Linked DNA regions of Callithrix jacchus. The protein of the gene in region 1 interacts with the protein of each later gene in a biochemical or structural test. Links are inferred from orthologs where the notes say so. Each region holds a gene or a part of one and is shown on either strand. Other genes may lie near its edges.

Region 1 (4,716 bases):
TCGATAGAAGGTGGAAAGGGAGAAAGAAGGGGCTGAGGTGCAAGACGTTTCTGGCTCTGAGAGTTAAGGGGCTTTAGGGGTGGGGCTGACGTTTCAGGCACTGTAGGATGCAGACAAGCATCTGGAGATTCCTGATCACCCTAGGGAGAAACAGAAGCAAGTGATGGACGGGAAGTGGAGAAAAGAGATACAACTTGGATACTGTTCTTGATAACTTGTTTATGGTCAGATATGCTCACTGGATTTTGGCTGGGCACAGTGGCTCACGCCTGTAATCCCAGCACTTTGGGAGGCTGAGGCAGGTGGATCACCTGAGGTTAGGAGTTAGAGACCAGCCTGGCCAAGATCCCACCACTGCACTCCAGCCTGGGTGACAGAGTGAGACTGTCTCAAAAAAAAAAAAAAAAAAAAAGATATGCTCACTGGATTTCCCTTTCTGATGATGATCTCTCTTCCATTAGACTGGGAACTACCTGGGAAGCTACCTTTTTCCCACAGACCTGTCTCCATAATGCTACTATAGTGTTCTCCACACATGGAGGATGGTAATGAAAAGGATGGCTGGGGCAAAGAAAGAAGAAACAAGAAAAAAGGGTCTTTCTTTTGAGTCAGATAGAAGATACAACTTGGGAAACAGTTATGGAAAACAACGGGTGCCAAAGATAAAGGAACAAAAGCCATTCAAGGAGTGATGAAAATGGAAGAAAACTGAATAATAAGAAAGGAATAGATTAAAGTGAGGCTAGGTGAGGGAGAATTGAGAGGATATAGAGAAGACTTGTGGAGTAGGAGGAGGTAGAAAAGGCAGCTCTCACCCTGGAAGCTTTCTTAGCAGCTCTGATCCTGGAAGCCTTCTTAGCAGGTGGCATCTTGCAATTCAGGCCTAGACAGAAAGTAAACACAAAGGTGGCTGAGTTCCAAGCAGTTGGTTGCTCAGGGGTTATCATGAAGCCTGTGTACCATCTTGGGTTCCCCTCCGCCTTCACTTACCTTTCTGATGCCTCCTGGGGCTCACTGGGGATCCCCTTTCACCTGACTGGCTCCCAGAAGGTATGGGGGCTGAGGCAGGTTCTGGAAAGTCCCTCGCCCCCACCCCAGGCTCTGGTGTTGGGCTGGAGGCCTGCCCTTTCTGGTCCCGGCTCCCTCCCTCTGGCTCCCCCCTCTGTGTGCCTCTCTCCAGGATCACTTTGGGCACCTTCCCTTCTAACTCAGCTGGCTCACACTCTCTGTCTGCTACTGGTCTCTCTACGTCTCTCTCAAATGTTTTGCTTGGAAGGGTCTGCTTCTCTACTTCTTTCTCCTGTATTTCCTCAGATGTCTGAATTTCTACCTTTGAACTCTCCCTATTTCTTTTAGGACTTGCACTTTCCCCCTTTTTGCCAGATTCTTGTCTCTGACTGTCTCTAGCTAACAACTGTTTTTGTTCTCTGTCCTGCATGCCCCTGGTTAATTCTTCCTCTCCTGTTACATCTGTCTGTCTTTCTGGCATCAGTTTCTCAGTTTCCCTCTCCAATGGCACTCTCTCAGGGGCCATCCTCTCTGTTGTTTCTTTTGGTATACCCATATCTTTATCCATAGTCTGCATCTCTCTGCCTTGAATCCCCATTGGCTCTGTGTGGACTGGGCTCTCTGGATGTTGGTCTCCTGGTATTGCCCTAGGTGGAGACAGGCAAGATCCACAGGCCTCAAGGTAGGTGTCAAAAGGCTGGGTCTCAGAGTCCTTGGACTCTCTCAGACAGAATGGCTGTGTAGCCAGGACCTCCCATGGTTCATCTAGGCTACCTGGAAGTAAAAAGAGAGAAAAAGAAAGAAAGAGAAGGAGAAGGAGAGGAGGAGGGAAAGAGAGGTACAGGTTGAAATAATAAATACATTGAGAAAGGATTAAGATAAACTCATGAATAATAAATCTAAACAGGTAATTAAAACAAAGCTGGGAATAAGGGTGGTAGCTATAACTTATTATTATTATTTGAGACGGAGTCTCACTCTGTCGCCCAGGCTGGAGTGCAGTGGTGCAATCTTGGCTCACTGCAACCTCTGCTGCCCAGGTTCAAGCAATTCTCCTGCCTCAGCCTCCCAAGTAGCTGGGACTACAGGTACATGTTATCATGCCCGGCTAGTTTTTTGTATTTTCAGTAGAGACAGTTTCACTGTGTTAACCAGGATGGTCTCGATCTCCCGACCTCGTGATCCGCCTGCCTTGGTTTCCCAAAGTGCTGGGATTACAGGTGTGAGCCACTGCTCTTCGCTGTTTCTCTCAAAAAGGTCATAGCCTTGGGTGGGTATGCTAGTTTGATCTGTAATCCCAGCACTTTGGGAGACAAAGACATGAGGACTGCTTGAGGTCATGATTTCAAGACTGGCCTGGACAACATGGCAAAACCCTATTTCTACAAAAAATTAGCCAGGCGTGGTGGCGGGTACCTGTAGTCCTGTAGTCTCAGCTACCTGGGAGTTAGGAGGACCACTTGAACCCCGGAGGTCAAGACTGTAGTGAGCTATGATCATACCACTGCACTCCAGCCTGAGTGACAGAGAGACTTTGTCTCAAAAAAAAAGAAATGAAAAAAGAGAAACATCATAGCTTAATATGAGAGTTCCCTGAGTAATCTCTTCCTCTCTTTTTTTTTGAGACAGAGTCTCACTCTGTCACCCAGGCTGGAGTACAGTGGCATGATCATGGCTCACTGCAACTTCCAGCTGTTCGGCTCAGGAGATCCTCCCGCCTTAGCCTCCACAGTAGCTGGGACTATAGCATGTGCCACTGTGCCTGGCTAATTTTTTGTATTTTTGAGACATAGTCTCGCTCTATCACCAGGCTGAAGTGCAGTGATGCGATCCCAGCTCACTGCAACTTCTGTTTTCTGGTTTCAAGCGGTTTTCCTGACTCAGCCTCCCGAGTAGCTGGAACAACAGGCACGCATCACCACGCCTGGCTAATTTTTTGTACTTTTAGTAGAGACGGGGTTTCACCATGTTGGCTGGGATGGTCTTGATCTCTTGATCTCGTGATCCGCCCACCTTGGCCTTCCAAAGTGCTGGGATTATAGGCATGAGCCACCATGCCCGGCTGGAATTCCCCTCTTTTTAAAGGTTGAATAGTATTCCATTGTGTATATATACCACATTTTCTTTTCGTTGACACATAATAATCTTTTTTTTTTTTTTTTTTTTTTTGACAGAGTCTCACACTGTCACCCAGGCTGGAGTGCAGTGGTGTGATCTCAGCTCACTGCAACCTCTGCCTCCCAGGTTCAAGCAATTCTTTTGCCTCAGTCTCCTGAGTAGCTGGAATTATAGGAAGTAGTACTTCCTGTAATTAGCTGCCACTATGCCTGGCTAATTTTTTGTATTTTTAGTGGAGATGGGGTTTCACCATGTTGGCCAGGCTGGTCTGGAACTCCTGAACTTGTGATCCACCTGCCTCAGGCCCCCCTGGGACTAATGGCGTGAGCCACTGCGTTCAGCCCTATAATTGTACATTTTTATGGGGTACCTGTATTATTTTGACCTGTGCATACAACGTACAATGATAAAACCAAGACAACTGGGATATCCACTATCTCAAACATTTATCATTTCTTTGTATTGGAAACATACCAAATCTCTTCCAGCTATTTTGAAATATACAATAAATTATTAACTATAGTAACCCTACTGTGGAACTAGAACTTATTCATTCAATTGACTGTATCTTTTTTTTGAGACAGAGTCTTGCTCTGTTGTCTAGACTGGAGTGCAGTGGCATGGGCTTGGCTCACTGCAACCTCCACCTCCTGGGTTTGAGCAATTTTCCTGCCTCAGCCTCCTAAGTAGCTAGGATTACAGGCGGCTAATTTTTGTATTTTAGTAGAGATGCGGTTTCACCATATGAACTCCTGACCTCATGATCCACCCGATTCAGCCTTCCAAAGTGCTGGGACTATAGGTGTGAGCCACTGTGCCCAGCCCTGACTGTATTTTTGTATCCATTAACCAATCTTTTTATGTGTCCTATCCCTCTACCATTCTCAGCCTTTAGTAACCACCATTCTACTCTCTACTTCCATGAGATCCATGTTTCATGTTTTTAGCTCCCACATATGAATGAGCATGCACTATTTGCCTTTCTGTGCTGACTTATTTCACTTAACATAATGTCCTCAGGGCTCATCCACATTGCTGCAGATGACAGGATTTCATTCTCTTTTGTGGCCGAACACTGTTCCATTGCGTATGTATACACATTTTCTTTTTTTTTGACATTGAGTCTTACTCTGTTGCCCAGGTTGGAGTGCAGTAGTGTGATCTCAGCTCACTGGAACCTCTGCATCAAGGCTCCAGGAATCCTCCTACCTCAGCTCCTGAGTAGTCCCAGCTGGGAGGGACTGGGAGGGATTCCTGGAGCCTCCTATCTCAGGTGCACAAGGCAGGTGCACACCACCATGCCCAACTAATTTTTGTATTTTAAGCCATCACACCCAGCCTATACATACATTTTCTTTTTGTTTTGAGATGAAGTCTCATATTGTTGCCCATACTGGAGTGCAATGGCACGATCTTGGCTCACTGCAATCTCTGACTCTGGGGTTCAAGTGATTTTCCTGCCTTAGCTTTCTGAGTAGCTGGGACTATAGGCACCTGCCACCATGCCCAGCTAATTTTTGTATTTTCAGTAGAGACAGAGTTTCACTATGTTGGCCAGGCTGGTCTCAAACTCCTGAACTCAGGTGATCC
Region 2 (4,542 bases), on another chromosome or scaffold:
ATGATCCTGAAACTCTGCTTCGCTGCATCGCTGAAAGGGCCTTCCTGAGGCACCTGGTAGGTACGACCTGTGCTCAGCCTGTGGAGGGCTGGGGACTTGGAGAGCTGGGAAGGGTGGTGGGGAGATTTCTCACATGAATGCTTTGTATATAGTGCTAACTCATTCTTGTTGAATGTTGTGTATTGAGAGGACCAGGTACGGGCTCACAGTTGCCTTTTCAGTGGTGTCCTTAGGTCTGTGGTCACAGGGTGGTATTAAGAGCCCTTGGAGCTCATAGCAACTTCTCATTGCAGGAAGGAGGCTGCAGTGTGCCAGTAGCTGTGCATACAGCTATGAAGGATGGGCAAGTAAGCAGTGGAAAATTGGTGGAAAGGCAGGGAAGGGACTGTGGCATTTCTTCCTGTGCATCCAGGCTTCTAAGCAGTCTCCTCTCATACTGTATTGAGGCAACTGTTTTCTTCCCCAGCTGTACCTGACTGGAGGAGTCTGGAGTCTAGATGGCTCAGATAGCATACAGGACACCATGCAGGCTACAATCCATGTCCCTGCCCAGGTACCAAAGCTGAAGGGTGAGGGGGGTAATAAGAGTGCATGTAATCTCTCTTGTTCTCACCAAATCCCACCTCCACTCATACAGCATGAAGATGGCCCTGAGGATGACCCACAGCTAGTAGGCATCACTGCTCGGAACATTCCACGAGGACCCCAGTTGGCTGCCCAGAACTTGGGCATCAGCCTGGCCAACTTGTTGCTGAGCAAAGGAGCCAAAAACATCCTGGATATTGCACGGCAGCTTAATGATGCCCATTAACTGGTCTGTGGGGCAGATGCCTGGGTTGCTGCTGTCCAGTGCCCATTGTCATGCTAGCTGGGGAGCAATTACCCCAGGAGACTGAACAGCAGGGTCCAAGCCTTCCAGGGATTTGCCTCACTATGAGCCCCTGATGACTGCCTTGCCTCCTCAGTATGTGAGGGCTTCATCTCTTTAGAGAAATCCAAGCCACAGCCTTTGAATGTAACCAGTTCTACTAATAAACCGCTCTGAAGGTGCTTTTTGTTGTTTTTCTTTCGTGGGGTGGGCAGGAAGATATGAACAAAGCCCTTTCATCCTTACTTCTGAGGCTGGGACTTTTGCCCAAAGTTCTCCTGGAACATCCTTTCTGCTTCTGCCTAAATAGTTTTCATTTCACACAGAATAAATTGTCTCCCAGAAACACTGAGAAACAGCCATAATCTTAAATTGCTATGGTTTGTCCCTTCTCTATAACAGTAGAGCCTATTTATATTGCATACCCTTCCCACCCCCACTGTCTCGGGAAGGTGTACAAAGTCACTAATTCTACAACCCTCTTGCAGAATGAATACAAACGCTCCATTTAAAAAAGAAACAATCCTTTAATAAAATTAGTCCATCTAAAACTCCCCAATGCCTCAGGTTCTAGTGTTGGAAGGGTTAGCTGCAAAATTCCAGTTCGAAAGCCAACAGAGGCTCAGTCCAGACAGGGATTAACCGACTTGTGCTGGTATCTAGGTGCTTGGATTGCCGAGTCGAGTTTGCTGGAAGGGACATGGGGCAGCGTGGGGAGGCCCGACAGGCCTGGCTGCCAGTTGGCTTCCGCGAAAACGACTCTCGCTGTCCACATAGCCAGCCGTGAAGCCAAACTGCAGGCCTCCACCCTCCCCCAAATGTCCTCCTAGGAGGCAGTCACTCGGGAGGAAGATGTGCCTGTTACCAGGTGTTTCGTCCCGGCCCCAGCGCAGACCTATGAATGAAGATGGAGAGCTGACGTGAAAGGCCTGAGTCCTGGCCGCAGAGGGGGCGCCAGACGGATATCAGCGAGCCCATCTCTCCCACCAAAGCCTCCAGGCCAGCGGCCACGTCTCAAAGTCCTGGGCTAAGCACCACGACGGGGGAGGACCAGACGCCCCGGCTGCAGCTGCCGAGGGACGGACTCACCTTCAGGGCCGCCGGCCTCTGGGCCTGGGCTGCCCACCTCGGCCCTGCGTCAGAGCGGAAGGCCAAGTCTTCCAGAAGGTGCTGCGGCCTCCCCGCAGCCCCTCGGCGACTCAGGATCGGGCGGCTGAGTCACGAGCGCCGAGGCGGGCAGGTGCGGCGTCGCCGGTCTCCCCCCGGCAGGCTCGGGTCCTCCGCGCCACGGCGGTCCCCGCAGAGCGCCCTAGCCGTTTCCGGACCGCTCGAGCCCTGCCGGAGAGCGGCCGGCGGACGTGGCAGGGCCCGAGGCCGACGCGGCAGGGGGCGCGGGCCACGAGTGGGGGCGGACGGGGACTCCAGGACGGGCGGTGGGCGAGGGGAGGGGCAGGGAGGCGGGAGCCGCGGCCCGCTTGCTCCGCAGTCTGAAGTGGCTCAGCTCTTTCCGTGAGGGCGGTGGTGGCCCTTAAAAGGGCCTTTGTGGTGGCATGGGGAGGCCTGGCGGCCGGCCGCGACGCGGGCCCTCTTAGTACTCCTGGGAGGCCTGGGTGGCCTTCTTGCCGCCTGAGGGCGCCTTCGGCCCCACGGTGGCGCTGGTCTTCTTGGGCAGCAGCACGGCCTGGATGTTGGGCAGAACGCCTCCCTGGGCGATAGTTACGCCGCCCAGCAGTTTGTTGAGCTCCTCGTCGTTGCGAATGGCCAGCTGCAGGTGGCGGGGGATGATCCGCGTCTTCTTGTTGTCGCGGGCCGCATTGCCCGCCAGCTCCAGGATCTCAGCGGTGAGGTACTCCAGCACTGCCGCCAGGTACACTGGAGCGCCGGCGCCAACGCGCTCGGCGTAGTGGCCCTTCCGCAGCAGCCGGTGTACGCGGCCCACGGGGAACTGGAGGCCGGCGCGCGACGAGCGCGACTTGGCTTTGGCGCGGGCCTTGCCGCCAGTCTTGCCGCGGCCCGACATGCTAGCGAGGTAGACCGGCGAAGCTCAACGGCTCAGAGACACCAGGACAAACACTCTCCGCAGTCCAACTGCTGTCGCGCGCGCGCGCCGAGAGGCCGTTTTTATAGGCCCCCAGGACACACCTCCGCACCCTCCTGATTGGCCCTTTTCTCCAGTACCCTCCTCCGATTGGTTGCGATTAACCCTTGGGTGTCGCGCCTCTGCTGAGGTAGCGCGCCCGTCGATTGGTTAAATTTGAAAACCTTTTGCCCGGGGAGAAAAGGCGAAAAGGAGGGGTAGCGGGCAGACGGCCAACCACCCGCGAACGTAGCCAATCATTGTAAAGCGCGCGAGATTTAAACGGTACAGTCGGAAACCAGAAGCTGAAGACAGAAGGGGTGGAGTCTGAGGCCACCTAGAAAACTTCTGGGAAATTGTGCTGGAATAGGAATTTTAAAGGACAGGGGTCAATACTACAGCTACCGCTGCCTCCCTTTCCAGGCCAGGTCACTCTCTATACCCTTCTCCTACCTGGCAAAGGGAGAAAGGGAAATTAGACCCTTAACGTTCTTTTCTTTCTTTCTTTTTTTTTAAATAGACCGGGTCTCGCTCTGTCACCCAGGCGGGAGGGCAGTGGTGTGATCTCGGCTCACTGCAGCCTCGAACTCCTGGGCTCAAGGGATCTTCCCTGGTCAACCTCCCTAGTAGCTGGTACTCCAATCGCGCCCCACCATACTTGGCTAATTATTTTATTTTTGTAGAGACAGAGTCTCGTTTTGTTGCCCAGGCTGTCTTGAATTGGGGCTTAAGCAATCCTCTTGCCTCTGCCTGCTAGTGTTGGGATTACAGGTGTGAGCCACCACACCCAGTGACTCTGAAAGTGTGATCCCATTCCACGAAACAGGGTAACTTTAATCTTTTGGCCCTCCTGAAGTATCAGGAGTTCTTTTATTTTGTTTTTGAGACAGAGTCTGGCTCTGTTGCCCAGGCTGGAGTCAGTGGCACATCTTGGCTCACTGTAACATCTGCCTCCCAGGTTCAAGCAATTCTCCTGCCTCAGCCTCCAGAGTAGTTGGGACTGCAGGCACACACCCCCACATTGGGCTAATTTTTGTATTTTTCGTAGAGACAGGGTTTCACCATATTGGCCAGGCTGGTCTCAAACTCCTGACGTCGTGATCCATCTGCCTCAGCCTCCCAAAGTGCTGGGATTACAGGCGTGAGCCACCATGCCTAGCCAGGATTTCAATATTTATTCAACATGTTCTGTTTGGTCTCAGTTCTGTTCATTTCTTGCTAGAAGAAAGGAGAGAGGAGGCCACTATTTGAACCCTCCTCCATGGCTAATTAATAGGAAGAGCACTGAAGTGGAGTCAACCTCAGATCTGTTTCTGGCTCTGCTGCTTACTGCTATCAGAACCACCGTATCAGATTATGCAAGGGAGAGAGATAGGCATCCTGTTGGTGGAAGTACTCTCACCAACCCTCTCAATCTACCCAAAAATGCCCATATAGGAAATATACCTACAGGAACAATAAGAAAAAGACAACACTTTATTGTCTCCATTGGGAGCATGTAGCCCCCTGCTCAGCTCTTACTAATCAGAACACTTAATTTACAATCAAATGACATGTCACCTTGGAGCCTGTGTCCCTAGCCCTGGCCCAAGTTCTA
Region 3 (4,816 bases), on another chromosome or scaffold:
AAGGGAGAAGCAGAGAACTAAGTTTGACAAAGGGCCAGTTTTCTCCTTAACATACTGGGCACAATTTGAAGTTCCATGGAATGGGAGAGAAAAAGATAATACTGGCCAGGCGCGGTGTCTCAAGCCTGTAATCGCAGCACTTTGGGAGGCAGAGGTGGGCAGATCACAAGGTCAGGAGATTGAGATCATCCTGGACAATATGGTGAAGCCCCCATCTCTACTAAAAATACAAAAAAATTAGCCGGGCATGGTGGCAGGAGCCTGTAGTCCCAGCTACTCAGGAGGCCAAGGCTGGAGAATCCCTTGAACCTGAGAGTCGGAGGTTGCAGCGAGCCGAGATCACACCACTGCACTTCAGCCTGACAACAGAGCAAAACTCCATCTCAAAAAAAAAAAGAAAAAGATAAAGATAATGCCACACTTTGAAGAGGCTTCAATAAATATATCAAGTATATGAGTTTCCTGTTTTTTAACTGCCTTTAAAAAAACAAACAAACAAACAACAGCAAAAAAAAAAAAAAAAAAAAAAAAGAGAAGCCAGACATGGTGGCTCATATCTGTAATTGCAACACTTTGGGAAGCCAAAGTGGGCAGATCACTTGAGGCCAGGTGTTCGAGACCAGCCTGGACAACACAGTAAAGTCCCATCTCACCTAAAACAAATAAACAAAAAACAATTCGCTGGGTGCTATGGCTCATGCTTGTAATCCCAGTTACTGAGGAGGCTGAGGCAGGAGAATAACTTGAACCTGGGAGGAAGAGGTTGCAGAGGGCTGCAATCTGGGCAATAGAGTGAGAGTCTGAAAAAGAAAAAAAAAGAAAGAGAGAGAGAGACAGAGAGAGAAAGAGAGAGAGAGAGGGAGAAAGTCAACAGAGCAGAAATCAATGAAATGATAAATGAATGTCCAGTAGAGAAAATCAGCAAAGCCAAGGTTGATTCTCTGAGAAAATTAATGATATAGATAAAATCCTGGCAATACTAATCAAGGAAAAGTAGAAAAGTAGTAACATAGTAAACATAAATCACCAATATCAACAATAAAAAGAGAGATCCTCCACATACTAAAAATGTCAAAGGATAAGGTTATGAATGGTTTTATATCAATAAATTTGAAATTTTGATAAAATTGACACATTTCTTAAAAAAACAAAACTCACCAGCATTGAAGCTTGAAGAACCATAGAATCTGGATATTTCTCTAGCTCAATCTGTTATGAAAAACTTTTCCACAAGTAAAACTCTAAACACAGATGACTTAACTGGTGAAGCCTTCCAAACGTTTAAGAAATAAAGAACTCTATTCTTACACAGTATCTTCCAGAGAATAAGAAAAGAAGTAGCATATTTCAGTTCATTTTATGAGCCGTTATAACCTTGAAACCAAACTTTTACGGACATTAAGATAAAGAAAACTGCAGAATAATTTCTCTCATCAACACAAATGCAAAAAATCCTTAAAAAAAGTAATCAAGATCAGCAATATGTAAAAAATGTTATACATAATAGCCAGGTGGGATTTATTCCAGGAATGTAAGAGTAGATTAACCTTTAAAAATCAATTAAAGGAAAAAACAAAAAAAGAAAACAACAACAAAAATCAATTAAAGGAGCCCAAGCGTGGTGGTGCACACCTGCAGCTCCAGCTACTTGGGAGACTGAGGAGGGAGGATCACTTGAGCCTAGGAGGTGGAGCCTTCAGTGAACTACGATCCCACAACTGTACTCCAGCCTGGGCAATAGAGCAAGACCCCATTAAGCAAGAAGAAAGAGAAAGAAAGAGAGAGAGAGAGAAAAAAAGAAAGAGGCAGGGAGAGAGGGAGGGAAGAAAGAAGGGAGGGAGGGAGAGAGGGAGAGAGGGAGGGAGGGAGGGAGGGAGGGAGGGAGGGAGGGAGGAAAAAAAACAGGAAAAGGAATGAAAGAAAGAGAATTACAGAAGTTCACCACATTAGCATAAAAAGAAAAGGGAATCATATGATTACCTTAGGTGCAGAAAAAATACTCAACAAAATGCAACATCCATTCATGATTTAAAAAAAAAAATCAGCAACCCAGGAAGGAAGGAAAGATCCCTGATAATGGTTAATAATATTTAAAACAAAACAAAACACCAGCAAAATGTTTGCATAATGGAGAAGTATTGAAAACTTTCCCTATCACCACTTTTACTGAATATTGTATTAACAGTTTGGCAGTATCTGTTAAAGCTGAACATACATCTGCTTCATGATATATGGGGAAACCCTGCAGTAATGCATACCTAAGTGCACTAAAAGACGTGTAGTAGAATGTAATGTAAGTTCTAGTTAGTGCAGTAAGTCAAGAGAAAAAAGACTCCTAAGGATGTGAAAGGAAAAAGCAAAACCGTTATTATTCATGTAAGACATAAGGATGTAAATAGAAAAGAAGCAATTCCAACTAATAAGACAATTCAGCAAGATCATTGGATTCAAGGTCAATATACAAAAACCAATTGTTTTTTTTCTGCAGATGCCAGCAACAGATAGAAAATGAAATTAAAATTATATTCACAGCAGCAGTCTCCATAAGAGCCCAAACTGAAGACTACAGCCATCAGGAGGAAAGACAAAATGTGCTGCATACACAGTGTAGAATCTGCAACACCGGGAATGAATGCAGGGCAGCTATACACAGCATAGGTGAATCTCACACAGACTCTCCAGTGAAAGAAGCCAAACACAAAATTGTATGCATGGTATGATTCCATCTGTATAAAGCTCAGAAATCAACAGAATTAGTCTATGTGTTAGAGGTCAAGATAATGGGTACCTTTGTGGGAGGGAGAATGGGAAGTGAGTGAAAGTCAGCTGTTAATGTTCTGTTTCTTGATGGAGGCGCTGGTTATGTGGTTGTGTTCATTTGATGATAATTAAGCTGTACATTTATTTAGCATATGTGATATTTTATGTACATTTATTATACTTTAAAAGTTCTTAAAATTTCATTTAAATTCAGATTTTCTCCAGGCAGAAGTCACAGACCTGAGCAGGATGGGGCTACAGGGGTGAGGAGAGGCAGCCCTCTCTGGGGCTTCACCTGACCTCGGCCTTCCAGAGCAAAGGGCTGCTGAGGACAGTGTCATTTGGGTCGAGTTTTTGAGAGGACACAGGAGTAGTCCATTCTCCCAGTGGAAACCCTTTGGGAGAGAGTCTGAGAATCCCTGACAATTGTGTTCAAAACGTTCCCCGCTTCCAGGGGGAAGGGCCCACAGTTTCCACCCTATGTACTGCACCGGAATCCCGAGGATTTGGTGTTTTTGAAATGTTTAGGAATTGCTGGGCTAGGTGAGGGTCCGGGGGTCAGAAACCTGTGTACTGGCAACTCACCTGGGACCCCCGGCGGATCTGTCTCTGGGTTGTAAGGTGGCCAGACCAGCGAGCTTCGAAACTGCTCAGGCTCTGAGGTGCGGCCCCCTCGCCGGAGATGCAACCTCGCAGACCCGGGCGCTGGGCAGGGGACTGGAGAGGGGCTGGCATCTTGCAGCCCTTCGGTCCCGCGGAGGGCACGGGCTGCTCGCTGGCTGCCCCGGGGGAGGAGTGGGAGGAGTGGCGAGGGCTATCAGCCCTGGCGGGCGAACCTTTCCCAGGAGGCGCTGCTTGCTCCAGCGGGGTAAAGCCTGACGAGGCGCGAGAGCGGGGCTGGTGACGCGCGCCGGCCGCGGAGAATGAGGCTGGCCCTCTGCGCCCTGCCGTGCGCTGGAGCCCTGGGTGAGTGGGCGCCGGGAGCGGAGGTGGGGGCCGGCCCTGCTGGGTGCAGCGGGGAGGCACTGGGTGCCAGCAGCGGGTCGGTCACAGCGGGAGCCTGCGCTACGACCGGACAAGCGGGCCTGCGGGGCTGCGATGAGCCCCTAAAAGTGCTTTCTCCACTAGGGCGCACCTGACACTTTGGTCCTCGCAGAAACTCCATTAACTAGGGAGAGGGTTGTAGACTGCGACTAGCTGGCCAAATCCTGTCTGTGGCTTGGTGTTGTACACAGCTGCCTGAGCCAAGCATGCTTTTCACATCTTTAAATGGTTGAAGGGGACAGGCCGGGCGCGGTGGCTCAGGCCTGTAATCCCAACACTTTGGGAGGCCGAGGTAGTGTATCATCTCAGGTCAGGAGTTCCAGACTAGCCTGGCCAACGTGGTGAAACCTCGTCTCTACTGAAAATACAAAAATTAGCTGGGTGTGGTGGTGTGCGACTGTAATCCCAGCTACTCGGGAGGCTGAGGCATGAGAATCACTTGAATCAGGGGGGCGGAGGTTACAGTGAGTGGAGATCATGCCACTGCACTCCAGCCTAGACAACAGAATGAGACTTTGTCAAAAAAGTTGAAGGGGAAATCAAAAGAGCAATATTATGTGACATGAAATTTACATAAAATTCAAATTTCAGTGTCCATAAATAAAATTTTATTAGAATGCAGTCATGCTCACTCAGTTAAATATCATCTAGGGCAGCTTTCAGGTTTGTCCAAGTCAAATATCTCTAAGTTTAAAACATTTTATGTGGGAATAAGAATTGAAATTCCAGGCACGTACACAGACTGGATGGTCCTCCATATGTCCAAAGAACAAAGAGAAGATTGGAGGTTCCATAGAAAAGGAGAAATGTTCTTCCAGAAAGTTCATTGGCACAAGTAAAGTTTTGGGGAACTGGCAAGTCCTGATTGTTGAGGGGCTGCAGCAGGTAAAACGAGGTTTCAGTAGGTGCTAACTAAAACTGGTCTTAGGTTACAATAGGCAGTTTCGGCAGCCAGGCTTGCTGAGAATTTCACATGTGGAGCAATGTTATGTGTCCCCAGTGCTTTTTTCCC

The links.
Region 2: the proteins of MDC1 (region 1) and H2AX form a complex in vitro, tested with the Homo sapiens proteins (5 studies listed by BioGRID and IntAct, with this or other methods). The link is inferred for Callithrix jacchus from reciprocal best matches to the Homo sapiens genes MDC1 and H2AX.
Region 3: the proteins of MDC1 (region 1) and TOPBP1 are reported together in a solved structure, tested with the Homo sapiens proteins (3 studies listed by BioGRID, with this or other methods). The link is inferred for Callithrix jacchus from reciprocal best matches to the Homo sapiens genes MDC1 and TOPBP1.

Annotation. Positions count from the first base shown.
Region 1 is NC_133505.1:35,502,231-35,506,946, forward strand, and holds part of MDC1 (mediator of DNA damage checkpoint protein 1), read right to left. Parts: intron 1,783-4,716; coding exon 991-1,782; intron 884-990; coding exon 816-883; intron 141-815; coding exon 1-140. UniProt on the Homo sapiens protein: Histone reader protein required for checkpoint-mediated cell cycle arrest in response to DNA damage within both the S phase and G2/M phases of the cell cycle.
Region 2 is NC_133511.1:18,752,659-18,757,200, forward strand, and holds H2AX (histone H2AX), read right to left. Parts: upstream 2,965-4,542; 5' UTR 2,889-2,964; coding exon 2,457-2,888; 3' UTR 1,376-2,456; downstream 1-1,375. Other genes in the region: HMBS (porphobilinogen deaminase), read left to right, coding at 1-56, 294-347, 467-553, 638-811. UniProt on the Homo sapiens protein: Variant histone H2A which replaces conventional H2A in a subset of nucleosomes. Nucleosomes wrap and compact DNA into chromatin, limiting DNA accessibility to the cellular machineries which require DNA as a template.
Region 3 is NC_133518.1:50,475,089-50,479,904, reverse strand, and holds the start of TOPBP1 (DNA topoisomerase 2-binding protein 1), read right to left. Parts: upstream 3,558-4,816; 5' UTR 3,496-3,557; coding exon 3,346-3,495; intron 1-3,345. Other genes in the region: serotransferrin-like, read left to right, coding at 3,684-3,726. UniProt on the Homo sapiens protein: Scaffold protein that acts as a key protein-protein adapter in DNA replication and DNA repair. Composed of multiple BRCT domains, which specifically recognize and bind phosphorylated proteins, bringing proteins together into functional combinations.